Mytilus edulis: one gene and its partners. The protein of the gene in region 2 purifies or fractionates together with the protein of the main gene of each other region. This does not show direct contact. Links are inferred from orthologs where the notes say so. Each region holds a gene or a part of one and is shown on either strand. Other genes may lie near its edges.

The links.
Region 1: the proteins of cysteine-rich protein 2-binding protein-like (region 2) and protein Dr1-like purify together in Drosophila melanogaster (affinity purification with mass spectrometry; 4 studies listed by BioGRID). This does not show direct contact. The link is inferred for Mytilus edulis from reciprocal best matches to the Drosophila melanogaster genes Atac2 and NC2beta.
Region 3: the proteins of cysteine-rich protein 2-binding protein-like (region 2) and WD repeat-containing protein 5 purify together in Drosophila melanogaster (affinity purification with mass spectrometry; 4 studies listed by BioGRID). This does not show direct contact. The link is inferred for Mytilus edulis from reciprocal best matches to the Drosophila melanogaster genes Atac2 and wds.
Region 4: the proteins of cysteine-rich protein 2-binding protein-like (region 2) and histone acetyltransferase KAT2A-like purify together in Drosophila melanogaster (affinity purification with mass spectrometry; 4 studies listed by BioGRID, with this or other methods). This does not show direct contact. The link is inferred for Mytilus edulis from reciprocal best matches to the Drosophila melanogaster genes Atac2 and Gcn5.

What each region holds. Positions count from the first base shown.
Region 1 is NC_092345.1:62,860,534-62,868,112, reverse strand, and holds the start of protein Dr1-like, read left to right. Parts: upstream 1-4,561; 5' UTR 4,562-4,649; intron 4,650-7,579. UniProt on the Drosophila melanogaster protein: Bifunctional basic transcription factor. Activates transcription of DPE (Downstream Promoter Element) containing promoters while repressing transcription of promoters which contain TATA elements.
Region 2 is NC_092344.1:116,011,998-116,018,985, reverse strand, and holds the start of cysteine-rich protein 2-binding protein-like, read left to right. Parts: upstream 1-3,965; 5' UTR 3,966-4,138; intron 4,139-4,890; 5' UTR 4,891-4,925; coding exon 4,926-5,025; intron 5,026-6,075; coding exon 6,076-6,190; intron 6,191-6,988.
Region 3 is NC_092345.1:49,812,761-49,819,856, forward strand, and holds the start of WD repeat-containing protein 5, read left to right. Parts: upstream 1-4,087; 5' UTR 4,088-4,239; intron 4,240-7,096.
Region 4 is NC_092344.1:36,818,462-36,826,071, reverse strand, and holds the start of histone acetyltransferase KAT2A-like, read left to right. Parts: upstream 1-4,584; 5' UTR 4,585-4,642; coding exon 4,643-4,840; intron 4,841-7,610. Other genes in the region: pre-rRNA-processing protein TSR1 homolog, read right to left, coding at 3,218-3,329.

The DNA of each region.
Region 1 (7,579 bases), on a different chromosome or scaffold from region 2:
AAATTATCGACTGTTCATGCTCTTGGCAATATTTGAAAGATCAAGGATTTTTCTTTGATTTGTTTGTAGATGATCATGAAAGATAATGTTCATTGTGTAAAGTTTTATCGATATATTAAACTTAATGTAATAATATTCTATATTCTTGTTGAACCCAAAATGTATATCAAACCTGTTCTTCTTCTTTTTTCTCTTTCTTTGATCGTCTCAAACTTTCTACAAATGATATGAAAAACATCAACTAGTTGTATGTAAATGTTAATTACCAGAGATGACCAAATCTGAAATCTGCATAAGGTGACCAGAGGTAACCAAATCCAATATTTACATAAGGTGACCAGAAGTCACCAAATCTAATATTAACATAAGGTGACCAGAAGTTACCCCATTCTAACATATAAAGTTTAACAGATGTTAACAAATCCCATTTCTGGTTAAGATGACCACATGTAATCAAATTCTATATTTGTGTAAGGTAATCAAGAAACATAAAAATGATTTGTTAAATCAAGCCTAAGTGGCCATTTTACCAGAAACGATTGCAAGTTTTAAGTTCAAAAAGAATAATAGTTGCAGCATTATATAAACATAGTGTATGTTTCCATCATATTAAAGGTTTTATACAATAAATTAAATGCATACATACCACTCTCATCTCCATTTTCTGGGGACTTCTGAAAAAAGAAGATTTCCTTCTAGTCTGTGATTCGAACATTCAAAAAAACGTGTCATCACAAATGACAAATCATGCAAAATGGATGAAACGAATATTTTGCTTTGAATGACTTAATTAAACTTAAGTTTGTGTTATTCGTTGTATTCAATTGCTCGGTATGTTGATTTTACTTACAGATAATACAGACGGTGACAGGCTCTAGATATATGGTGTATTGCTAAATAGAAAGAAGAATGGTCTATTTTTAGTTTTCTATTTTTAGAACACCAATATTACTACACAGAAGAGTACTATTTATAGGGTGACCAGTGGGCACCGTTCAGCGTAACTATTATCCTTGTGCACACCAGATATGATTAGAAAGATCTAGTCTTTGCCTTATGTAACTCCGGGCATAAAAAGGACTACATAGGTAGGTAGGTAGGTTTGATAATGTTCCCCATGATATCTTGTCACCAAGCAACTAATTAAAAATCAAAGCGCTGTAAGCACTGTAGGCAGTTAACCAAAAACCAAGTCAAACATAATTATGAAAACTGTGGCAATATTGCTTCATTTTTTTTTTAAAGATTTAAAAGAACAAACATTAAACATTCATATATAATTGTACATTTATGTTCATTTAATGAATTAATCATTAAGGCAAATAATTCATATTTTATCAAGGTTTTCAATAGCAACGTATATATCAAGTATATTTTTTTCATGGTCATGAGTCTCGAGTCAGCAGTGGTACAAATTCGCAATGATTGCAGTTCTTCTAGTTGATCGTAATTGTTCGTATTAGTTGACTGTTTGTATTTTAAGTTGACTTTAGTACGAGCTTGTAAAATATGAATGGACTTGCTTCGAATTCCCTGGAAAGAAAACTGAGTTTGTGTTCTACAGTACAAAAGTTATGAGACACAAATCAGACACAAATGTTTACTACTACAGGGATCAATAGTGAGGTCTGACTGACCTGTTCATAGTAAATGTAAATGACTCCCACCTTCAACCCAAGTCCATGATGTCTAAGTTCGGAATAAAATGACAGGTGTTAGGTCTAGCAAATTGATATGCATATGTGACGCCTATGAGATTGACCTTGTATGTCATTCAATCTTTTTGAAATGACAAACAGGAATGAATATGGTTTAGGAGTTGGTATCTCAATCTTTTACAAGTTCTCAAAACACACACAAGAGGGTGTGAGTGACCCTAGGGACTACCCCTATTTTTCATTTGATTTGTTATATTGTCCCATATATGAATATATATGGTTTAGGGGTGGGGGACCCCAGTGACTTCCCCTATATTTCATTTGATTTGTTATATTGTCCAATACATGAATATATATGGTTGAGGGGTTGGGATCTCATCTGTTTCCAAGTTATCAAACAGGATTGGATAGGGGTGACCCTTAGGACTCTCCCTATATTTCATTTGATTTGTTCTTTTTTCCCATACATGAAAATATATGGTTTAATTTAAGGCTATGATCTCGACTATTTCCAAGTTCTCAAACAACAGGAGGGTTGGGGTGACCACAGGGACTTCCCCTATATTTTATTGATTTGTTATTTAGTCCCATACATGAGTATATATGGTTACGTGGTGAGGATCTCGACTGTTTCCAAGTTCTCAAACATGAGGGTGCAGTGACCCTAGGGACTCCCCCTATAATTCATTTGATTTATTATATTGTCCAATACATGAATATATATATGGTTTATGGAGGGGATCTCAACCGTTTTCAAATTCTCAAACAGGAAGGGGTAGAGTGGCCCCACGAACTCCACCTATATTTCATATTGATTTGTTATATTGTCCCATACATGAATAATTTTCATGATATGGTTTAGGGGTGGGGATCTCGACCGTTTCCAAGTTCTCAAACAGGAGGGGTGGGATGACCCACAGGGACTCCCCCTATATTTCATTCGATTTATTATATTGTCCCATACATAAATATATATGGTTTAGGGGTGGGGATCTCGACTGTTTCAAAGTTCCCAAACAGGAGTGGTGGGGTGACCCCAGGGACTCCCCCTGTATTTCATTCATGCGCGTAGCTACGTTTACGTCAAAACGCCCGGGCGTACACTTGAATTTTTAAAATAAAACAAATATTCGACATAGAATAAGAAAAACTGGTCAAAAGCACATCAGCCTTGTGCTTCTTTTTTCAATGGATTGTAATTTTGAATAAAAAGGGACTAAATTTACTCAAATAAATCATTTAATATATTTGTTCGAATCTTTGGTAAAAGTCTGAATCTACTATGAATTCTACGTACTTTTCTTATATTTAAAGCAATTCACTATCTGCTCAGATTCGATATGCTGTTTGTATTTTTGTCGAGCCAGTGATTTATGTCCCAAAAGCGAGACAACATTTAGGTTCCGAATGTGGATAAAGTCTTTTGAATGACTTTCCGTGAAATTTTACGAAAGTTGGACAGAAACTGTTTATGAACAAGAGAGTATTCAGAGCAATATAATAATGCAATTATATCTTTAATTTTCCCGCATTTTAAGGACAAAATGTATTTCTTTCTGCAATTAATAAGTGGTCGCAGTTTGGGCTTACATTTTGTTATTTCTCAATTACATTAACTACTTGTCGAACCTTCATCGAATTTTATGAAAATGCCGAAGAAGCTTTTTTTTCTATTACTTATTTCTAAAGCTAAAATTTTGAAAGCATTTTTTTCGTTAATTTTCTATTCTTTTCTGATAGACAGCAGGATAGCCGGACTCTTCTTTACGCAATTAATTGTTTTACATGCTCAATTTATAAACCTTCATAGATTGTCGTGAAATATTCCAGATCAAGAAAAAAAATATCAAAAGAAAATTTTAGATTTTTTTTAAATCCCTTTAAAGGAACGATAAATTGATTCACTTTTTGTGGGAAGAAATCCTAGGTGTTCCAGAAGTTTTTTTATATTGCACCTCTTAGAAATATTTTTTTTTCGTGTTCATTAAAAGGTGCTTTTGTGGATTGTATGCTCACTCACGGCACCATTTAAACTTATTTAAAAGTAATATTGGTTTGGACGTTTTCTGTAAAACCAATGACCATTAGGCTAGCTTCCAGTTTAACACGATGAATAAGTTAACATATTACAAGATTTAACCAAAACAAACAAACCATTTACGGATTCAAAAGTATGTTGCTATCAATGATTTTTTACTGACAGGAATCATTACGGTATCTCATTCTCGATAGCTTTCGGGGGCTTCGTCCCTTTCGAACCCACTACCAGCAGGTGCTTTAACATTGAGCGGTTGACACCCCTCATATCCCTCGCCAAGGTTCGGGCGTACACGTAAAAATGACCCAGCTACGCCACTGGGAGGTATACATGATAACGTGATAATTAACCTCCTTTGTGTATATAGGGAAATGCTGAAGATTTTCTATAAAATGTCAATATGTTTAGCTTTGAAAAAAAGATACAATCCTTAAAGAAGTATACCATGGGGCGCATAAATTTTTAATGCAAAATCGGTAGACAATTAAATTTTTGCTCAAAATGGCCTGAATAGAATAGAATAGAATAGAAACATGATTTTTATTTTCCAAATTACAGGGCCCATAAAGGGCATAAAATCAGATACAATATATTTCTCTTGCAACAAAAGTTTCTCATTTCTGGATTTTGTTTGTTCTGGGAACAGTATATCTAACTGTTAATATATATATGTTCCTGGTTTTTTTTAGTAAACAATAACATCAAATGTTCTATTTTTGTCAAAGTAGGTTCAGAGACATATATATAATGAGTATCTATGTCTCTGGTAGGTCTATCTTATTTTACAAAGTTGGAGTGGGAGTTGGGGTGACCGAGACCTCGTAAAATCCGGAAACAAAAGCCGAAATTGATTACACATTTATAATTTTCTAATTACCTCCCTTCTCTTCCTAAACAGAAGGAAAGAAAGAAATGTTTCATTGATTGCAACGTACTATTTTAACAAAGCCCTTGTAAGAATATAGAACTCTAATGTATGTTAACGAAATATATCCCAACAATGAATGAATGCTTTATATAAATCCAAACGAGCGATTGACAAACAAGAACGTAATGGCAAAATATCAAACTCGAAGCAACTGTGGAAATCAAAACAAACATGTAAAATGTATATTTTATAGTTCATTATACATATCTTTGTAATAATAAGGCATATGCTATAATTGTTTGGGGATACAGTTGGTATTGTAGCCATTTTGCATATTTGCAATACCATACAATTATAGCCTTTGTATGAGGTCGACAGTACCTCGAATGACCGAATAACACTGTTAATATCCAAATTACACTTGTAAAGACTGAATAACACTTGAAATTTTTAATATTACCACATATTGGTGACTTTTAAACATTGATCATTAAATTATAGTATATTATCAATGTATTTCATAACTTATAAATGATTTATACTTACTTAATGAGTGATTTTCTAAATCACTGGTTTAAGTAACATTATTTCCATAAAAGTTGGAAGTAAGAGTTGTCTTTCTTTAATAATCACCTATTTAAGTAGTACAAATTAATCACTAGAAGAAGTGATTTAATCTTATTGTAGCTTTAAATAAAGAATACAAATGATCCAGGGACTAATTATGTTTCTAAACTTATCAGAACCAACATCTGTGTTGTTTAGGATGACCAGGTCATTTCAGGTGATGACCTTGTACTGAATCTAGGATAATGACATTAAAATCACTTGTTTAAGTATCATACCTCAATTTCCTTCCCAAAAATCACTTATTTAAGTATCATTATTTTAATAACCCCCACTAATTTCAACACCTGCGAACAGTGAAATTTTTATCGCGAACAGTAGAATTTTATTACATAATCTGAAAGATGAAACCTTGAACTTTACAGGAAAAATACTCCCACTGCCTGGAAAAATCTGTTATGAAAGTATCAGTTCATTATGTAAAGCCATTATTATAGCATTTTTTCAACTAAAATAGAATTTTCAGCTAAATGATAGCATCAAAGGCATAAACCTTACTACTTAAAAGAAGCAAAAAGTTCATTTTTTTCAATTTTACTAATTAAAAGATATTATTTAAACCTATGTGTTTAAAATTTTGAAAAAACTACAAAATCCCAATTTGTGACAAAACTTTGAATTTGCTACTCAAATAAGTGATTTAAAAATCACTTATTTCAGTAAGTCCCCTGACTGTAGAAAGAAGATTAGTTCATAACAAACTTTTAAAATTTAGTGTGTACGTCCAACATGGTGACCACAGACATCACATTGGCCGCCATGTTCTATTCTATGTTTTATTAGGATAATAACAGTGTTATTCGGTCATTCGTGTTACCCTGAGGTCGCTACAAGGATGTATTCTCTATTTTCTATTCTATTCTAACATATAGTGATCACCTTCAACAAATTGAAGATGATATCACAGGAGGAAATATTGACCTGAAAGAAGTATATTGACAGAGGACGAAGTCCTAGGTAGATATACTTCTTTGGGTCAGTGTATCCTGTATTGACTTCATACATAGACTTGGTCTTTGATTACTCTGACATCCAACGGATGTTTTGCCAGACAAGCTGGGGCCATGGGACGTCAGAGCTTGTCCCATATCAAAAATGGATATTTGCCCATCCAAAATAGATGCGCTGCTTCTTCGCTTCTGGTGCCAACAGACGGCCTTGGAATTATATAAATCGGGTATCAATTTGTTCATTTTTTATTAGCTCACCTGACCTGAAAGGTCAAGTGAGCTTTTCTCATCACTTGGCGTCCGTCGTCCGTGGTCTGGGGTCCGTAAACTTTTACAAAAATCTTCTCCTCTGAAACTACTGGGCCAAATTTAATCACACTTGGCCACAATCATCCTTGGGGTATCTAGTTTAAAAAATGTGTCCTATGACCTGGCCATCAAACCAAGATGGCTGCCATGGCTAAAAATAGAACACAGGGGTAAAATGTATATTTTGGCTTATATCTTTAAAACCAAAGCATTTAGAGCAAATCTGACTTGGGTAAAATTGTTGATCAGGTCAAGATCTATCTGCCCTGAAATTTTCAGACGAATCGGATAACCTGTTGTTGGGTTGCTGCCCCTGAATTGGTAATTTTAAGAAAATTTTGCAGTTTTTATATGACCGCAAAAATTGAAAATTTTTTGGTCGTATATTGGTATGATGTTGGCGTCGTCGTCTGCGTCGTCGGCATCGTCGTCGTTGTCCGAATACTTTTAGTTTTCGCACTCTAACTTTAGTAAAAGTGAATAGACATCTATGAAATTTTGACACAAGGTTTGTGACCACAAAAGGAAGGTTGGGATTGATTTTGGGAGTTTTGGTCCCAATATTTTAGGAATTAGGGGCCAAAAAGGGCCCAAATAAGCATTTTCTTGGTTTTCGCACTATAACTTTAGTTTAAGAAAATAGAAATCTATGAAATTTTAACACAAGGTTTATGACTACAAAAGGAAGGATGGGATTGATTTTGGGATGTTTAATTCCAACAGTTTAGGAATTAGGGGCTAAAAAAGGGCCCAAATAAGCATTATTCTTGGTTTTCGCACAATAACTTTAGTATAAGTAAATAGAAATCAATGAAATGTAAACACAAGGTTTATGACCACAAAAGGAAGGTTTGGATCGATTTTGGGAGTTGAGGTCTCAACAGTTTAGGAATTAGGGGCCAAAAAGGGGCCCAAATAAGCATTAGTCTTGGTTTTCGCACCATAACTTTAGTATAAGTAAATAGAAATCTATGAAATTTAAACACAAGGTTTATGACCATAAAAGGAAGGTTGGGTTTTATTTTGGGAGTTTTGGTCCTAACAGTTTAGGAATAAGGGGCCCAAAGGGTCCAAAATTGAACTTTGTTTGATTTCATCAAAAATTGAATAATTGGGGTTCTTTGATATG
Region 2 (6,988 bases):
CCAGTAACAAACATCACATAAACATATTTAAAAACAGTGAGGTCCAGGACCATTCCCGTATACATTATTGTTACTCTTTGTAATAAATTCCATTGTCTGTGAACATGTTTTTAGATGTAAAATTTTGTACAAATTATAATTTGTACATAAAATAGGTACAAATTATATTTATTTTTTTACTTTGTACACATTTTTCTAAAAATTATAATTTGTATTTTGACTTTGTACACATTTTTTGTACAAATTATATATATATTTGTGAAAATGACAATTTGTATATGAAATTTGACTAAAATCACTTTCAACAATGTATAACTTTTACAATAACTTATCATATGGATTTTTTTATAAAAAGAAAGCCTTGATACACCGTATATAATTGTAATTCAATGACCAAATAATAAACGTTATGTTGTACTGTTACACCACTGTCCAAGGTTTATAGACACCAACTAACATGTTTAACCCCGCCACTTTCTGTATGTGCATGTCCCAAGTCAGGAGCCTGCAATTCAGTGGTTGTTTTCGTTTATTAGTTTTTAGATAAATCAAGCTGTTAAATTTCTCGTTTTGATTGTTTTTCGTTTGTCTTTTCAATGCCTTTTATATATGACTATGCAGTATTGGTTTGTTGCTCATAGTCGAAGGTGGTATGATGAGCTATAGTTGTTAATTTCTGTGTCTTTTTGTCTCTTTTGGATAGTTGTCTTATTGGCAATCATACCACATCTCCTTTTATACTTATTTACAAAATACAAAAATAGTATAAATGTATCATTTGTTTGAGCATGTGAGTGAAATGTTGCCTTTGGGAATTACACGACATCTTTTTCTTCAGCATTCACACTAGAAGTGCTACTCCTCCTCTTTGTATTTACATGAAAGAGAACCCTGACTATCAATTTTTCGATCGCTTTTTAACTGGTTCACATAATGAAAAGTGAAGCTCAGAAACTGTTGCTGCAAATAAAGATGTGTCTTTAACAGCTTCAAATATTTAATTTCTCGACAAAATATACTTAAAATAAGTGAATATATTTGTCTCTGTTAAGGCCTAGCAATCCATACAACCAGTTATATAATAAGATGTACTGACTGTACTGTATTGGTCCTGGACCGGACTGATTTTAAAATTTCATTTACTGTTATCTGTTATTGTCCCTTTTCAATTCCTTGTTATCTGTTTTACGCCAAATCAATTTACTGTTTTGCTGTTATTGGAACCCCCCTTGCCCCCCCTCACAAAACGATGACTAAATTAACAAATATTGTTTAGACAATTTTCTATCTTTGACTAGGTTTGTCCCCTTATATACCTTAATATAATATAATGTTATATTATGGCATAATGGGAAAAACATTTCTGAGGCAAGTGCCTGTGTGTAGGTAGACGAAATAATTACGATTGACATACTTGGGCAGGCCTGCTATGGATGATTCCGACAACAAAAGTATCACTGTATGCGTATTATACACCATCGTGTTGGAAAAAATATTGATTTTACGGCATAACAAGTTTTAGTGGGGTTGAGAACCGAGAAATCGCCATATAACAGAAATTCGCGACCGGGTGAACATTTTCAAAGAATGCGAGTTAAGTACCTTGTGTTATATTAAGGTATATAGGGGGGGGATATGAGACAAGTGTCTGTGGCTGCTTATAACAATCCAACCAAAATGTCTTCAAAATGTATATTTTTTTTTAATGTGTTTTTATTTGAAATATAGAGCAAAGAAAGTGGCAGGTGACGAACACTTTTGGCCAGGTAACGTAGCTCTAAATCATGCTGTTAACTTGAATAGTTTTACAACGCACTCATACAGATACAGATACAGTGGTGTTCCCTCAGTCTGTTACTAAAAGTAAGTGTTTACCGTCAATATGACCCGGCAATATCAATGTCCTTTTAATCTGCATATAAAACAAGAGGCTCTCAAGAGCCTGAATCGCTCACCTTAATTTATTTTTTTGGTTAAATCTCTCATCAATGATTATTTTGGCTTTTCAATTTATTTAAATGTTCTTTGAATCGTCCTATTTTCTTCAAAAGCAAAAAAAAATCATTTTCTCCTATGTTCTATTTTAGCCATAGGAGCTATGTTTCTGACATACAAGGAAATGAAATATAAAATTTATACTAGATACTCTGAAACTCATTTAGCCTAAGTTTGGCTGAAATTGATACAGCAGTTTCAAAGGAGAAGATTTTTTAAAGTAAGTCAACATGATGAACAAATTGTGAAAAAAGTCTTTAAAGGGCAATAACTCCTTAAGGGGTCAATTGACAATTTTGGTCAAATTGACTTATTTGTAGATCTTACTTTGCTTAACATTTTTGCTATAAACAGTTTATCTGTATCTATAATAATATTCAAGATAATAACCAAAAACTGCAAAATTTCTTTAAAATCATCAATTCAGGGGCATTATACCTGAAAAACCAGTTACCCAATTCGGCTGAAAATTTCAGGACAGGTAGACCTTGACCTAATAAAACTTTAACTTCTTGTCTTATTTGCTCTAAATGCTGGAGTTTTTGAGATATAAGCCAAAAACTGCATTTTACCCTGTGTTCTATTTTTAGCCATGACGGCCATGTTTTTTGACGAAATAAAAAATAAAGCACAAACTTTATTTTGTACACCCTACTGATCATTCAGTTGAAGTTTGGTTGAATTTGGTTCAGTAGTTTTAGAGGAGAAGATTTTTTAAAGTTAGCAAATATGATGAACAAATTGTGAAAAATTGTCATTAAAGGACAATAACCCCTTAAGGGGTCAATTGACAATTTTGGTCATATTAACTTATTTGTAGATCTTACTTTGCTGATCATTTTTGCTGTTTACAGTTTATCTTTATCTATAATAATATTCAAGATAATGACCAAAAACTGCAAAATTTCCTTAAAATTACCAATTAAGTGACAGCAACCCAACAATGGTTTGTTTGATTCATCTGAAAATTTCAGGGCTGATAGATCTTGACCTAATGAACATTTTTACCAATGTCAGATTTGCTCTAAATGCTTTCGTTTTTGAGATATAAGCCAAAAACTGCATTTGACCCCTATGTTCTATTTTAAGTAACGGCGGCCATGTTTTTTGACGGATCAAAAATCGAAGCCCACACTTTGTGCAGGATAATCTAAGGAACAATCATGCTAAGTTTCATCCAAATCCATTCAGTAGTTTCAGAGGAGAAGATGTTTGAAAAATTGTTAACGACGACGACGACGACGACGACGACGACGGACGCCAAGTGATGAGAAAAGCTCACATGGCCTTTTAGGCCAGATGAGCTAAAAAGGTGCTTGAATGATTGAAGGCCTACTTTTATCAAAAAATATTTGACGTAGTATCTATTTAATTGAATGCTCCGTGGAATTGGAATATGAGAAGTTTATTATATAGACTATATATAATAGATTCATATTAATACACCTTATCGCTATTTGTCCGCCATTGCTCACACAGGTTCCCGTAAAATGTTGACGTCATAAAACAAAATATCTGACGCAACAATGGAAAAGTGATTGTTGTTGACGTCAAAAGTTCAAACGGCCGGGTCAGCCGGGATTAGCGATAAGGTGTATGCGGAGTTTGAGGGGTCCTGATCCCGAAATCCCTGGCTTAAAAACTTGAACACGAAATCCCGAGGTCCCGAATTTAAATAAATGAAAAAAACGAATTCCCGAATCCCGAAATCCCGAGCTTAAAAACACCCGATCCCGGAGTCCCGATAAATATCCTATCCCCCTCATAATACCACAGTCGCCTGAAGATTTAATAATTATAGCGAAAAATGGGGGAAATAAAATATTTTTAGTAGTATTAATAAAATATTTTTAGTAGTATTATTATTCTATATAATACTACTAAAAATATTTTATTTCCCCCATTTTTTCGCTATAATTATTAAATCTTCAGGCGACTGTGATAATACACACTCAGGCGTAAAATCGTTCACGTCTACACCGAACTTGTACTTACGTTTAGTATTGGAATTTCCGGTGTTTTGGTTTTGCGGCAAAACAAAATTGTTTGCAATCTGCTTTTCATATACACAGGGAAATGCTTTAGTACCAACTATTTTTAGTGTCAACAAGTATATTGATGATCAAACATTATAAATAATCTTGTATGTATTTTCTTTATTCTGTTTCACCCCCCTTTTTTTGTCTTTTGTCATGCTATTTTTTTCTTTTTGATTGGTTCTTTTGGTTTTGCCATCTTTTGGTAATAATCAATTGGCATACAGGAAAAGTTACATTTTTCAACCTAATTAAAAAATAACAATAGAACTTTTGTGGAAATTAATTATAATTTACACATGTATAGCGATTTATATATAAGAATGTTTCTGGTGGTGATCTAGTCCAAATAATTATGACGTCTGGCAAGGCTATCTGCCCTTTGACTATGTCCAAATAATTATGACGTCTGGCAAAGGCTATCTGCCCTTTGACTATGTCCAAATAATTATGAAGTCTTGGAAGGCTATTTCAAATTTTTGCTTTGACGCCTTCCTGCGATGTAAGGCGTCAAAGAAAAAAATATAATAGCCTTTCAAGATGTCATAATTATTTGGACTACCCTTTGACATGTTTGACGGCTAAAAAAAAAAGATTATTAAATGTTTTCACAATTAATTGTTTTTTGCATAAAATCATCCAAAATTTTGTTTGCCTCCCAACCCAATGAATGTACTAGCGGAATTACACACTTCCTTTCAAAAATTCTGGATGCGCCCCTGGTTTCATTACTTCTTTAACTTCAAGTAGCTTCTTCCTCTTTCGATCAACAATGCATTAACACTAAAGAATTAATACATGTTGTAGCTAAATGTATCTTCCTTATTTCATATTTTTCTGAATAAAATTTTTGTTACAGACATAACCATAGTATGATTGATTAGATAATTAAATATGGAACCTGAGGCAACACATTGTTATTGTAAAGTAAAGGAAATTGATGAAGAGACTCCAAAGTTAACATGTATGAAATGTAGACGACAGTTCCATATAGGTATGATTTATCAGTTTTATAGAGTCAATGACAGTTAAACATGTTAAAAGAATTGAAAAGAAGAGAAAATTCAAAATACAAAGTTTTAATTAAATTTGGAGTTAATGAAGAATTCTAGAAAATGTGGTACAGTAGGGTTTTATTAAATAAGACGGAAAGGGACATTGCCACCAAAATGGCAGATCTAGAGCATCAAGAAAAATCACCTGACTGAGAATTCACCACCAAGAGTTATTTCCAATTAAGTCATCTAGTACGTACTGTATAATAACTAGGAATTTGAGTAATAAAGAGTGTATTCAATTTTATTTATAAATCCTTTATTTGCAGTATCACCATTGAAAGCAAATTTGGCAATCACAAATATAATGTAATACTACATACATGTATGTCACTCAAACATTAACCAAATATTATGTTATTTTTCACTGAACAATCCTAAGTTCTGTAAAAAAAATATGAATTTATAAAAAATGAATTATAGTGAATGAGCAATACCTTTATGGTTTCAAAAATACTTATAAAATTGAGAATGGAAATGGGGAATGTGTCAAAGAGACAACAGTTCAACAAAGAGTAGAAAAGAGCCCAATGCCACAAAATGTCTTCAACGCAGTGAGAAAATCCTAAACCCAGAGGAGGGCAACTCAGTATTTGCTGTCAATACATGTATAGATAGCATGTTGTTTATTTTGGATAATACATGAAATATTTGCAAATACTGTGGATTCATTATTATTCGTGGGATACCATTTTTTGTGGTTTTAGTTGGTACAAGTGAACCACAAATTTAAATGTTCAACGAATCACAAATTTGCTGTTGGGTTGTATACAGACTTTGACAAAACCACGAAATCAGATATCCACGAAAATGCAAAAGTTCCTCAATCCACGAAAATTGGTACCCACGAAAATAAATGAATCCACAGTATACATAAAGCAAATATGTATCAATTAATCTATCTTCTCACAGTCTCATCCATACTTATATTGAACAACCCTGATAGCATATACATGTTCTGTTATTATGTAAACAATATTTTTTATCAGATTGTTTAAAGACGGGAAAGCCATCGTTATTGGCAGGTGATGTATTTTTTCACTTGGTCTGTACTGAATGCAATAACAGTGGAGAAGAAGAAGTAGATAGATTAAAGATGCAATGGTAAATCTTAATAGAATTTTATAGGATTTTAACAGTTCTTCTTTCATTGTCTTTTACATTTCTTAACAATAACTGGATTTGTTTTTTCAAGTTGTGGGCATTAAGTTCAAAGTTTTTAGTTATATTTACCTTTTTATACCCCATAGGAGGGTAGGAGTATGAAATATGGCATTTCAAATACAGTACTGAAAAAAAAGCTGTCTATGCGTGATAATAAAGAATGATTATCAATGAGACAACCATCTATCAAAAGTACCAGGATGTAAACTGCTCTAAAACCTGTAGAAAAGAGGACAAATACATTCAACTTCACACTAAAAACAAAAAGACATCTGATTGCGCTAAATTTACACAACACCACATACAAGCACAACAATAATAACAGGAAAGTCAATGAAAACTATTGATGCAAATCAGGCAATAATAAAATGTCTTTTCCTCTGAAGCTTCAAGTGAATATCTTCCTAAACTTTAAAGGAAGGATCAGAATTCCTTTACAAATATTTTTGATTTTGTGCTAAAACAAATATGCTGACCTTTAGATTCCTATTTAACTCTATGGCAGCATATAGGCGTGCTTCAATTAAAAGGATTTTTAACATTATGTTTAATATAAATGAAGAACCATTTGACTTGATTATTTAGTTCATAGAACCATGCGCTCTATACTTCCTAAGCTTAATTGTGGAAGAAATCCTGAAGTTTTATTATGTATATATGTGAGGAAAACTTAACAAAATGTCCCTTTTGTCTTTCTCTCAATTTTCAGTAACTTGAAATACTTCATTCTAAATTAAG
Region 3 (7,096 bases), on a different chromosome or scaffold from region 2:
TTGTCAATAATAAGAAACTATAAACTGTCATAAAAGTGGTAGGTTCACCTGGCTACATATAATCCAGATTTAACCCACCAGTTTCTAATGAAAATGCTTGAACCATGTTAGGAATATGGCAGTTGTTTTTCACATTTTATTGATCGATAGGTTTTGATAAGGCTTAAATCAAAATATGGTATGTTTGCAGTTTACCGACTGACTTTGAAACCTCCCCCCCCCCCCCCCCCCAACTGTGATAATTTTGTTGCTTTAAATGTGAAGATCTTATTTTTAATACTTCTATTAATGAGATCTGGAAATTCATGTCCTTTCCAGAATTGATTTAAGTCTAGGTCAATTACACATTTAAGTTAAGTTTTTCTTTCTTTCCCGTCAAGCGTTCATATGACCGTTTTCTGATAAAGCACATGGAAATTGTTTACAGGTATCCATGAAGTTATGAAGGAGTACTTTACGATGTCGACTTCTGTCAATTTTAAGACAAATTACAAACAAAAAGTTCAATAGTAAACTGTTTATACAAATTCAGGCACATGGAATGATGTCTTTAATGATTTCATCGAGGATGATGCAGCGGATATTCACAACTGACATGATAACTCATCTTTTTCAACTTTTTGTCTCAAACAAATCGGGTACAGAATCTTTTGAGCAAGACTTTATCGAACCAATTTCAGTGGTTAAACAATTTGACAGCAGTTTGAAGTAGGTCATATTTTCTATAAATCGTTGTAAAGTAGACAAATATGAAACCACTCCTCTGTGAATTTATGGATACCTGTAAACATGCCTGTACGGAGAAATTCCAGAAAGAGCTCATTTGAAATGTAAATGGATAGAGACCATGCCAAATCAATTAGAAGCAACCCAAACTTAACAAAGATGATCATGTAGAGAAAATGAATGGTTAGCTTGAAAAATAAATATACTCTCTCTATATTAAGTCTCTCTTCGATTGCAATGAGTATGCTCCTTTAGGATAAGGGGGCCATTTGCAATTATTCTCTTTCTTACAATATTAAATATACCCAAACTTTGTGGCCTGTGTGAATTGAATTAAAACATGTTCTTAGGAGCTATGCTGTCAATTTTTTTTATGCAGTCAAAACATTTCAGTACAGACCATTTACTTTAATGGGGTGCTATGGATTTCACCCCAAACTAGTAAGTTTTCTTTCGTTTTCATTTATGCCAAACATCAACATATCTTTCAAAATATAATCGTATTTGATACATGTATTTGAAAGGTTATTTAAAATTAAGAAAGCTACATAAGAAACATGCAACTTCAGATCAGTTGAAAGCTGAATTTGACATAAGGCCAGGGTTTTTTAATTTGTTGGTTTACAGATCCGCCGACTTTATTTTTCAGATTAAAAGAGTAAAAATAAAATCGAAATTTAATGCTTTTTATTCCTGCCGACCCTTACAAATATATTATCCTTGAAAAATGAATAAAATATTTTTTTTTAAAATGAAATGATTTAAACACTTACAGAATTGATAACACCTTGTGTTGTGAAAAAATAATCTGGATGTGTATGTATCTAAAATAGACAAATCAATCATAACTGACCTTGAAATGTTGTTTGCACAAATATTTTTGCAAAATGAAACCTGTGCTTGAAAACAATTACAGAATAAGTTTGTTTCTCGTATTTTTCATTGTTCCGTTTTTCCAGTGTACGAGTCTATTACGTTTTTGACACGAATGTTGAAACTTATTTCCGAACGAAGTGTTTCCAATCAGTTTTCGTGCTTGAAGATCAGTATAAACCAAGTTTCGTGAAATTGATAAAGAGCTATGCCGATTTGTTTTATCTTGTTTGTAAAATGACGATTTAATTTCATCTATTATCCGTAGACACGGCCCCTCTTTTTGGAAATTATTAGACAGAGAAATTATAAGACAATGTCATGCGATGTTTATGTATTGAATTTAAAAAATTTAATTTACGACAGCTGAGCAATAATATTTCATTGAAATTCAAATTTAAGAAATGATTACAAAATAGCATAGGCCTAATATTTTAAAACATTTGAACCACGTTGCGTTTGTTTGCACCTGACTTTAGTCAGGAATCTGATGTTCATGATCAGTACTTGCCATTTACTGATGTGGTTCATATTAAAGTGCGTCTTATTTTTCATATAGCTGAGACCATTGGTTTTCCCGTTTGAATGGTTTTACACTAGCCATTTTTGGGGTCCTTCATAGCTAAGCTTGCTGTTCTGTGTGAGCCAAGGCCCTGTGTTGAACACCGTACTTTGGATGGTCTCATTGGCACTAGTACCACATCTTCTTACATCAATTATTTATGACTGAGTTAAGACTGATCAGACATTTACCCCAAAAATTAAGATGTTACATAAGAAAATGTCACACTACAATGCAAAAGTTAATTTTCTGAACCATTACAAGTGTCAATGACCTCGAGTCAACAAGCATTTCTTGTTCATATAAATAACTTAAAAGTAATTCATTTAAATTGCCATACAAATATAGCTTTGTAGTTATTTGCTCCATTTGAACTTTTGACGTCATACAACAATCTGTTTTCTACATTGTGGCAACAGATATATAATATATGACGTGAAAATTTTACGAGAACCTTTGTGATGTCCAGTATTGGTGGATAAATAGTGATAAGGTGTATAAATATTATATAGCAAATAATGAAGTAACTTAGCTTCTGAAAACATTGAAAATTGTCTATATTTGATCAATAAAAATAAATACATATCTGATGAAGTCCCGTAATGGATAGTTAATATAAATCTCATTTGGTTTTATTCCAAATTATAATCCATATGGCTATAGTAGTGGTCATTTGAGGCGAGATTGAGAAGCACTTGCAAATCATACAAATTATGATCATGTCAACAATGAAACGTTGTTTATCAAATTGTATAATAGGGTATGTATATGATGGGATCAAAAAGTATCCCTTAAACGACATATATATATTAACAAAGGACTTCCTACTACCAACTAGAACAATGAATGAGTCATTTTCTTGTGAGAAGACGCCATTTTCACGTGGAAAAATACTCGTTCACAAAACGAAAGAAGACCATGCAAGGGCTATTACTTCAATAATAATTAAACACAAACTATCATATTAAATAAATACAACATCTATTTACATAATTTTCGCGTTCTGTCGCGTATGTTTGTTTCCTTTTGGTACATATGTCTTTGATAAGTGCATAATCAGCGGAAAATTCATCAATGCATTCACTACCGTGTATATTTCGCAAGTTCTACATTATGAAGAAGTTGAAGATCAAAATTGTTTGATCTCGACTAACAAACTCCAAAAAAGATGCAAAAAAATCTCAAAATGTGTCCAGATAGATGAAATATAACGCTATTTTTCTTTAGACGATGTGAACACAGCCATGAAAAGATGGCGGTTTATGCGTCGTTTGTGATGTTGACTGACATTTTTTAAGTTTTTTGCACTTTTAAAATTGTTTAAAACAAAAAATTTAATAAAAGTACCCTGCACTGGTTACTGGGGTGTTCTGCTGAAACCTTTGTAGTGTCGGATGGCTCGTCATGTCCATTCAATCCACATGATTCAACAGGACCCACAGCGTATCAGTCATCAACATAAACGACCATCCCGGTTAGAAATGGTATTTATACGACCAGACAAAAAACAGAGGTTTTGATTGGATAAAAGCTGTCACCTGACATGAACAACTTTTAAAATTAGTGAAAATCCAGTTAAATTTGTTTTAAAATAATGTCCAAAATATCATTAACTCTTTCTCCGCTATGTTATGAAACAATATGTTTTAAAAGAAATTTCTGTACGGAGGTAGAATGCATCAAACTCGACTGATCTTTCGAACACAAATGATCAGTACGTCTTCACGTATCGACCGAAGTGAAATGATTGGCCATACATGTCACGTGTCAAAGAAAAAAATGTCAACATTGCAAAGCATGAAAGACAATAAATAAAACGAATAAAGATTTTTCACATTTTAGCAATGCTGACTGAAATCTAAGATATTAATTTTTTCACTTATATAAAATAAAAAGTTTATGAAAATCGACTACGCAAACAAACGAGATTCTGCTACTGGGCATGCGTATTACAGTACCCATGTGCTGATGGTCATAACATTGTACAGCGGGAAGATGAAAGGGACAGAATAGTAGAAGTTTCAATAGATCAATTCCAATAAAACCAGAACAGCACAAACAAAGAGCTAAACGTAAACGTAAGATCTTCCTTACTGATTGCTCACAGCTTAAAAAATACCTTATTTTACCAAATTTATGCAAAGTTTGTAAACATAAGCACAAGCCACAACGAAACCAAAAGTCAAACAGCCAAAAATAAGTCATATATTCATACAGATGTGTCTATTACAGAACATACGACATGTCAAGTTCCCTTTCATTTATAGCTATTATGAGGATAGTAATGCCCTTTACCATCAGGCGTCAAATGGTTACTTTCTCTGTATCTGTATAGTACTGGAAATTAACTCCCCTATCATACACCTTATCGCTATTTGTCCGCCATTACTGGAAATCGCACAGGTTCCCGTAAAATTTTGTTGTCATAAAACAAAATATCTGACGCCACAATGGAAAAGGGATTGTTGTTGACGTCAAAAGTTCAAGCGGCTGCGTCAGCCGGGATTAGCGATAAGGTGTATTAGCGGGTAACACGAATGACCGAATAACACTGTTGTTATCCGAATAACACTTGTAATGACCGAATAACACTTGAAATTTTAATATTAGCACATATTTGTGACTTTTAAACATTGATCATTAAGGATTATGTACCCTTGTGTTGCTTCAATACACCTTATCGCTATTTAGTCCATTCCGGGAAAAACAGTCATTAACAAAAGAACTATGTCAATTGGACATGCTTTGATACTATTTATGCACTTGAATTTTTACTTGATAACATTTTTGTTCGCTTTGGAGATTCCGTATATCGTCAAGTTATTGGAATTCCAATGGGGACTAACTGTGCACCACTTATTGCGGACCTATTTTTGTATTGTTATGAGTTACAATTTATGACTAAAATTAGCAAAGACCCATCAAAACAACATTTGATACAAAAATTTAACAATACTTTTAGATATTTGGATGATATATTGGCTCTAAATAATGACGACTTCAGTATGTATACTAAAGAAATTTATCCTGTAGAACTTACTTTAAATAAAGCAAATGATAACAATGACCACTGCCCTTTCCTCGATCTTGATATCTATATCATAAACGGGAAGCTTAATACAAAAATTTATGATAAAAGAGATGATTTTTCATTTCCTATTGTTAATTATCCATTTTTAGATGGTGACGTTCCCTTGTCACCATCTTATGGTGTTTATATATCTCAACTTGTACGATTCGCTCGTGTATGTAACAATGTATTAGATTTTAGCGAGAGAAATTTATGTATTACTGAAAAATTATTACACCAGGGTTTTCGATATCACAAACTGGTCAAAACATTTACTAAATTTTATCACCGGTATAAGGAAATAATTCGTAAATATAACTCAACATGCAGACATCTTATACGTTCAGGTATTTCACATCCAAAATTTTATGGAAATATTCTTTATAAAGCACAAAAATGTCAGTATTCTCCTCAGAAACTAACAAAACCTTTAAATAGACTTATTAAAAGGGGATATAGTTACGATACTGTTGTCAGGTCATTAAAGATTGCATATTTTGGCTTTAACATTGATTCACTGATAGGGTCTTTGCATCGGAACTAAACACATTTATTTCTAAAAAAACAGTTGTTGGCATGACACGGGTTATGTTCTTCTCATATATTTTATGATAGTATGATACTAAACCCCTAACGGGAGGGATTGTACCTGATATTCATATGATGAAGACATAATCTTTCAATCAGTTTAATTGAGGTCTGGAGCTGGCATGTCAGTTAACTGCTAGTAGTCTGTTGTTATTTATGTATTATTGTCATTTTATTTATTTTCTTTTGTTACATCTTTTGACATCAGACTCGGACTTCTCTTGAACTGAATTTTAATGTGCGTATTGTTATTCTTTTACTTTTCTACATTGGCTAGAGGTATAGGGGGAGGGTTGAGATCTCATAAACATGTTTAACCCCGCCGCAATTTTGCGCCTGTCCCAAGTCAGGAGCCTCTGGCCTTTGTTAGTCTTGTATGATTTTAATTTTTAGTTTCTTGTGTATAATTCGGAGTTTAGTATGACGTCCATTATCACTGTACTATTATGCATATTTTAGGGGCCAGCTGAAGGACACCTACGGGTGCGGGAATTCTCGCTACATTGAAGACCCATTGGTTGATTTCGGCTGTTGTTTGCTCTATGGTCGGGTGGTTGTCGCTTTGACATATTCACCATTTCCTTTCTCAATTTTATTTATACAACTTCCTGTTTGAGGTCAACGGCCGAAAAATGGAGGTCATCAGTAGTGAGCTGAGGAAGAAAAAACTTTAGAAAGTGATCATCAAGAAACTTTGATATTGTATGATCCACCTTTTTCGAAATAAAAATTGAAGTAAAAAAATATTTTGTTTGAAGTATTTACGGTAGTTTAAACAGGTCTCATTAAAAAGTATCATGCATGGTGAATTGTTTAAACAGGGTCCCAGCTAGCTTCAACTGGATGAAAAAGTTGTGTAATTTTAGAACTTATCCGGAATGGAATAAATAGCGATAAGGTGTATGCTAAACATATGGAAATATTATAGAAAATCCACAGCCATTATCCTTGTTCTATCATATTTGGCAATTTGATGACCGATAGATATAGGAATATTACATGCAGTGCTAGCATTGATTTCCTTAAAACAAGTTTATTAATGTAGTTATTGGTTAGAACAAGTAAAAATATGGACCAAATCAAGTACACCTTTTAGGGTGCGCTCGAATTTAGTTACTCTGCACGAGGTATTTTGGAATTTACAGGTTGGTTAGAACTTTTTGTAAAAAACAAACACTAGCACATCATAGAAAAGCAAGTGAGTAATATATGTTTCAAATTTTATAACAAAAATCTCTGTATTAAAGGCTGTGGATTTTCTATAAAAAACTTGGTTT
Region 4 (7,610 bases), about 79 Mb from region 2:
CACTGTTAAATCAGACAGGTTATTCCACTGATCCACTACTCTAATTGAAAAAGTATTTAGTCTATGTGTGGTCTTACACTGTTTTTTAAACAGTTTTAATGAGTGACCTCTTGTATTATTAGATGGTGCTAAAGTAAATAGCTTCATCCAGTCGATGTCATCTATACCATGCAACGATTTGTAGACTTGTATCATGTCATTCCTATCCCTACGATATTCCAAAGTTGGCAAACCCAATGAACGTAGCCTGTCTTCATAATTAAGATGACAAATATTTTTCACCAGTTTTGTGGCCCTCCTTTGTACAGATTCCAGTTTACGGATGTCTTTTTTAAGATACGGTGACCAGACGCATGTCGCATATTCAAGCAGCGGACGCACTATTGATTTATAAATAGTAAGAAACATATCTTGATCCATGTAATCAAAAGAATGATGAATAAGAGACAACACTCTCTGCGCTTTGTTGTAAATATCACTTATATGTTTTTCAAATTTCAAATTAGACTCGAAAGTTACTCCAAGATCCTTTTCTTCATTCACTGTAGATAATGCAATAAAATTTCCAGATTCATCCAACATGGTATAACGATATTTCAGGTCATTGTCAGGATTAATATGCAATACTTTACATTTAGCAGCATTAAATTTTAATTTCCACATATCTGACCATTCACATAATCTGTCCAAATTTTCCTGTAACTTACTTTGCTCATAATCTGACGAGACTTTAGAATAAACTTTACAATCATCAGCAAAAATTTTCACTATGCCCTCTACTACATCAGGAAGATCATTTATAAATGTTAAGAAAAGAACTGGTCCTAAAACACTTCCCTGAGGTACACCACTCACAACGTCTGACCATGTTGATGTTGTGTTATTTATACGAACACATTGCTTACGCCCAGATAGAAAACTTTTTATCCAATTTAAAATGCATCCCTTTATTCCAAGTTTTTCAAGTTTCAAAAATAAACGCTGATGCGGTACAGTATCAAACGCCTTTGAAAAGTCAAGGAAAATCGAGTCCAGTGGAAAACCACTATCAATTAATTCTGACCACTCATCCAGAACCTCTAGGAGTTGAGTAACACATGATCTACCAGGACGGAAGCCATATTGACTACTAGTAAAAAGATTGTTTGTAAGAATAAACTTCATAATATTGTCTCTAATAATGGATTCACATATCTTACATACCACTGACGTTAAGCTTACAGGTCTATAATTACCAGGTTTTAGTTTTTTCCCTTTCTTAAATATCGGTGATACTATGGCATTTTTCCAATCGTCTGGAACTTTCCCCTCTTTGATAGACTTATTAAAAATTAGAAACAATGGATAACAAATTGCATGTCTAACTTCATATAAAACTTTCGGATGGAGACCATCAGGTCCTGCAGATTTATCTGTCTTTAATTTATTAAGTTTCTTTATCACATCTTCCTGACAAATATTAATATCATTTAAATAATTGTTCGACACTGAATTAGTATCATAATCTTTCAAGTCCTCCGTTTGAGTAAAAACACTAGTAAAAAACTTATTTAAAACTTCAACTTTGTCAGCAGTACTGGATGCTAAAGTACCATCCGGTTTCTCAAGCGTACCTATTCCTGATCTAGTCTTGAGTTTACTGTTAACATAATTCCAAAACGACTTTACATTAGTCTTTGATTCTAAGGCCACTTTTTGTTCAAAACTAAGTTTGGCATTTTTAACAGTATTTGTACATTCATTGCGATCCTTCACATATTTGATATATGACAAATTATTTCTTGAATATTTATATTTTTTCCATGATTTACGTTTCTTGACAATTGCAGACTTAGTAGCTCTATCCATCCACAAAGGTCCCAGATAGCAAACATGTGTTGGGCCAATATTGGCATTCTGTTGGCAACATTGTTGGGCCAATGTTGGAAAACTGTGTTGGGCCAACGTCATTTTGCTCATCGGCCCTCAGTTGGCCCAACATGTTGGGTCTTTGTTGGCCCAACATCAGTATGCCAACAAGGTTAACTATTTGCCAACAATCTGCCAACAATGTCAACTATTTGCCAACAGTCTACCAACGTCGTCTGGTTCTAAAATTATGTTGGACCAATGTTGGTCGAACAGCAGTATGCCAACGATGGCTTCAGTCTGTCAAACATGTTATTTATGCATTTCATGTTATGTATTATGAAATATTTATCTCTTGTATATAATGTATAATATATTTGCAGGTCAATCTCGGCTGTCATGTGGAGAGTGTGATGTTACACTCGTGTCAAATGAGCAGCTGAGTTCAGTTGACAAGTTTAACAACTTGCAGAAACTATACTCAAATTTTATTTGTTTTTTTGGGCTGGTTTTAAGTATTTTTTGTTTGTGCATAAAATTATTCAATCATTAAGATAAATACATTTAAATGACTACACAGATTTGAAAATATTAGATAAAGAGAATGAAGAGCACATTTTTTGGTTTGCACTTTGAAATAATATCTAAAAAAAAATAAAAAAATCTGTGGTATAATACGGGGAGATAAGAACTTAATACGTTGGCATATTGTTGGCACCATGTTGGCTCATATCTCAATATTGTCATGAAATATCAATGATATGTTGGTTTTTTTTATAAATATACTGTTTTAAAAACTTTTGAATTATTCAAAATACTAAAAAATTTCTAGCTCTTGGCACAGACGGTTTAAAATAGTCCTATTTGGGAAGACTTTATTATTTTAATTTTTTACTAAGTCCTCAATGCCCTTCAAACACAATCTATAGTCTCTATGATAACATAGAATCATTCAAATAAAGTTCGAATAAAATTGGTTCAGTAGTTTCAGTCAGAAGATCTTACACTGAATCAATGGATAACGTAAGTCAAATATCGTTGGGCAAGCTACTTTAAAAATAACAGTTGGTAAGAAAATGTTGGGCCAACATTGGGTCAATAACACCAAAATGACAGTTGGTGGAAAGTCGTTGGGCCAACAAGGGGCCAATAGTGTCAAAATAACTGTTGGCTGAGTTTTGTTGGGCCAACAAGGGGCCAATAGTGTCAAAATAACTGTTGGCTGAGTTTTGTTGGGCCAACATCGGTTTCTTGTTGTGCTGCCAACGCCAACTATTTACCAACTGTGCCAACCAATCACCAATGTTGGCCCAACAAAGTATTGCTATCTGGGGTGGGCTTATAAATTTACGGTCATTTTTCTTCTTACCTTTTGTTTCTCTTTCTAATGAACCTTTGCTTCTATGTTTGCCATGTTTGTGTCCTTTATTTTGTTGTTTAAAAACGCCAGGTCTGTGGGTTTGCTGTGTATCTGCTGCCATTCTCAGCTTTTAAATGAATTAGAGTACCTGTCAACACTATGAACACGTGCTAATGGAATATTGATACTAAATTTAGAACATTTTAATGTTGTAAGGGGCTATAAATAAAAAAAATAGTACTAGACAGATTCATGTCACTAATAAAAACGTAAATAATGAGGACAAGCTTAAATGTAGCATGTGCCCTATCTGACAACCAAAACCAATATAAACAAAAACCTTCTTTGTTATAACAAAATGAATGCTTCTTTTTGTAACTTTATTATGGGGTGTAAAAGCATTGACCGAAGTACATTTTGTATGAAGCGCAGAAGTAAATTATGTTGACAGAGAGTAAAAAAACCTGAAAGATACCAAGATGAATATTTGTATATAACAAATTGTTTTCTTTCTCATTTTTTTTAAATTGTCAAAGAAGGGAAGGGAAAAAATATAGTTGTTTTAGAAGGGAAGGGAAAATTATTTTTTTCAGAATTGGAAAGCTTTATCTAATTCACATGTGGAAGAATTAAGGCATTACTGGGGTTAAGTCATAAAGTAAAGAAGTCCCATCTATTATTATTGCAGTTAAAAAATAATCTTAATTAGTTCATTATCGCACATCAACGTTGGGGGTATTATACAACTTGTCTTGAAGAGTTATTGTCCGTTATCGAGCCTGAGTTATCTTTCTTCTTTCGAAACCATTAACAAATGGCGGCCGAAATCTACGTGAATGACAGTCTCTATTTACATGTATTTTTGCCAAGAAAAGAAAAACTGAAACGGTTTTTGAAAGAAAATAAAAGGTTATGGACGCTCAACCTATGATATTTATCTACATTAAATCAAAATTTGATCGCACAATCGTTACGGTTCCCGAGTTTTCAATGACCAAAACTACAAGGTCATTTTTGCTGAAGCACATGTCAAATTAATCCCGGTCAGGCAAAAGGCTCATGCAAATAAATTTTGGCCAGGGAGTCCCGCGAAAAAAATAAATTCAAAGAACTTTTCAAATCTAGAAAAAATATTCAAATAGAAGAAACATATCTGGAAAATAATAAGAGTCATATACTAATGTTATAGATTGCTGATAATATGGCCAACTTATGGATTTTTTTTTGTATAATATGTCTCTGGTATTATCAACACCAAAATTACTTCATTTCAGAAAATTGTGGTGCGTTACTGTAAAAAATATTTAGTTGTGTTTGGTTAGATCTTTTATGTTTCTGTTAGTTTGTTGTCATGGATAGTGATGTGAAGCTGCACAGTACTACTTATTTTCAATGTTACAAGCGTTTGCATAAAAAAATGAAACAAATAAAACAATGAGTGACGCAAATTCTAGCGATCCACTTCAAAATGGAACAGATTTACAGCAAACAAATAAAGGTCCTACACAGTCTACGACAGGCGAAATGTCTAGACCGAACAATCTACAAAGAATTGCACAAAAGAAAGCTATGGTTCGGGGATACCCCAGGAACAAAAAATTGGAAAAGCTAGCTGTTTATTCGTCTTGCAAGGTCCGTTTATGATTTTTAAATTCAATGCTTCATGTATACCGATTGGGACGGAATGTCAAAATATATAGATTAAATGAGGGTTTGGATTTAGGGTCCTACATCTCTATACACCTTATGTCTGATAAAAGCTCTACAGAGCGTTTGTTGTATTGTTATACATTGTATGTACAAATGTATAACCGACTTTAAATAAATCTTTTATGCTTAATGCTTATTGCTAACCATGGCTGACCTGGCCGCTTGAATTTTTGACGTCGTACACAATCACTTTTCCATTGTAGCATCAGATATTTTGTTTTATGACCTCAAAATTTTACAGGAACCTGTGTTATATCCAGTAATGGCAGACAAAACGCGATAAGGTGTATTGCTTTTTGGGCCATTTTTCCACAGGCACATTGGAAGACCCACTATCAATGTATATTTACGATAAACGTTGATAGTGGGTCTTCCAATGAATAGAAACAAGTGCCTGTGCATTTTTCTCTATTTATGATTATTTCATTTGTTACTAATATAATTTCTCTCTGATCATTCATGCTGATTGCGATGGCAAATATAGGCAAGATGCAAGAATTGTTGTCCATATGATGTATCGGCCATGTCATGTCGTACTAATTTCAAAACGTAGAAATTTATACTGCAAAAGGTTTACTTTTTATGTTCAACGGAAGGCTATTTGGAAGCTGTGAGGTCATTAAAACAATTTGAACTCCCGATTTCTATTATGTAATCGAAGTCTTAAATGTTGTTCCATCTAATCAACGTGGTTTTAAAATCAGATCGCAATGCATGAATAGCCTAGGGAAAACACTGCATGAAACAAATTCTATATAAAGTATATAGATATTATATATGACGCCCACTAGCAAAAAGGACCCTTATTATGCTTATAGCAAACATTATTTAACATGAGGCAGGCATAACCTTTGAAAGGGGACGAAGTCTGTATGAATTATTTTTTTTAATTCAAACATATTTTATTTTAAAATCTATTAAAAAGAAATGGAAATACCATAACGTTTCCGATTTGGTTCTGTTGTTTTACATTTTAGTTGTGACGTTATTTAAGTGATGACGTCATATATTCAATGTAAAAAAAAAGAAACACAAGCATCAGGAAAAAATTTCTCATATCAAAGAATTATTGAAAATGAAATTGGTATTTTGATCATTCCTATATTTTACTAGACTGATAAACATATAATTTACTCAAAGTCTCATGACAAATGAGATGAAAATAAAAAAAGTCTGAAAAAAAAGTTAATGCTTTTGAGTTCATAAGAAGCAAGAGTTTTTTTCAGGATTTTTTTTTTTAATTTTTCTAATGTAATAGTTGACTTTGTCCCATTATTATCAAATTTTGTATTTCCTAAACAAATAATACTTATCATCAAGTTATGTCAACTCAAAGCAAAAAAATTGATCATTGATAAACTAGCTATGTAATTTTAATCTTGACTTATTTCATGGATCAGTGAACAATGTTAAGATTTTGGGGTCAAGTCCATATCTCAGATACTAAAAGCAATAGGTCTTTTATATTTGGTGTAGGGAAGAATTGTAAGGTGTACATGTACATTGTACTGTCCAACTGGCAGGTTTCATCTGACCTTGAACTCATTTTCATGGTTCAGTGGTTATAGTTAATTTTTATACGACCGCAAAATTTGAAAAATTTTTCGTCGTATATTGCTATCACGTTGGCGTCGGCGTCGGCGTCGTCGTCCGGCGTCCGAATACTTTCAGTTTTCGCACTCTAACTTTAGTAAAAGTGAATGGAAATCTATGAAATTTTGACACAAGGTTTATGACCACAAAAGGAAGGTTGGTATTGATTTTGGGAGTTTTGGTCCCAACATTTTAGGAATTGGGGGCCAAAAAGGGCCCAAATAAGCATTTTCTTGGTTTTCGCACTATAACTTTAGTTTAAGTTTATAGAAATCTATGAAATTTTGACACAAGGTTTATGACCACAAAAGAACGGTTGGGATTGATTTTGGGAGTTTAGGTTTCAACAGTTTAGGAATTAGGGGCCAAAAAAGGGCCCAAATAAGCATTATTCTTGGTTTTCGCACAATAACTTTAGTTTAAGTAAATAGAAATCAATGAAATTTAAACACAATGTTAATGACTACAAAAGGAAGGTTGGTATTGATTTTGGGAGTTTAGGTCCCAACAGTTTAGGAATTAGGGGCCAAAAAGGGACCCAAATAAGCATTTTTCTTGGTTTTCGCACCATAACGTTAGTATAAGTAAATAGAAATCTATGAAATTTAAACACAAGGTTTATGACCATAAAAGGAAGGTTGGTATTGATTTTGGGAGTTTTGGTCCCAACAGAATAAGGGGCCCAAAGGGTCCAAAATTAAACTTTGTTTGATTTCATCAAAATTGAATAATTGGGGTTCTTTGATATGCCGAATCTAACTGTCATGACTGTGTATGTAGATTCTTAACTTTTGGTCCCGTTTTCAAATTGGTCTACATTAAGGTCCAAAGGGTCCAAAATTAAACTTAGTTTGATTTTGACAAAAAATGAATCAGTTAGGTTCTTTGATATGCTGAATCTAAAAATGTACTTAGATTCTTGATTATTGGCCCAGTTTTCAAGTTGGTCCAAATCGGGGTCCAAAATTAAACTTTGTTTGATTTCATCAAAAATTGAATAAATGGGGTTCTTTAATATACCAAATCTAACTGTGTATGTAGATTCTTCATTTTTGGTCCTGTTTTCAAATTGGTCTACACTAAAGTCCAAAGGGTCCAA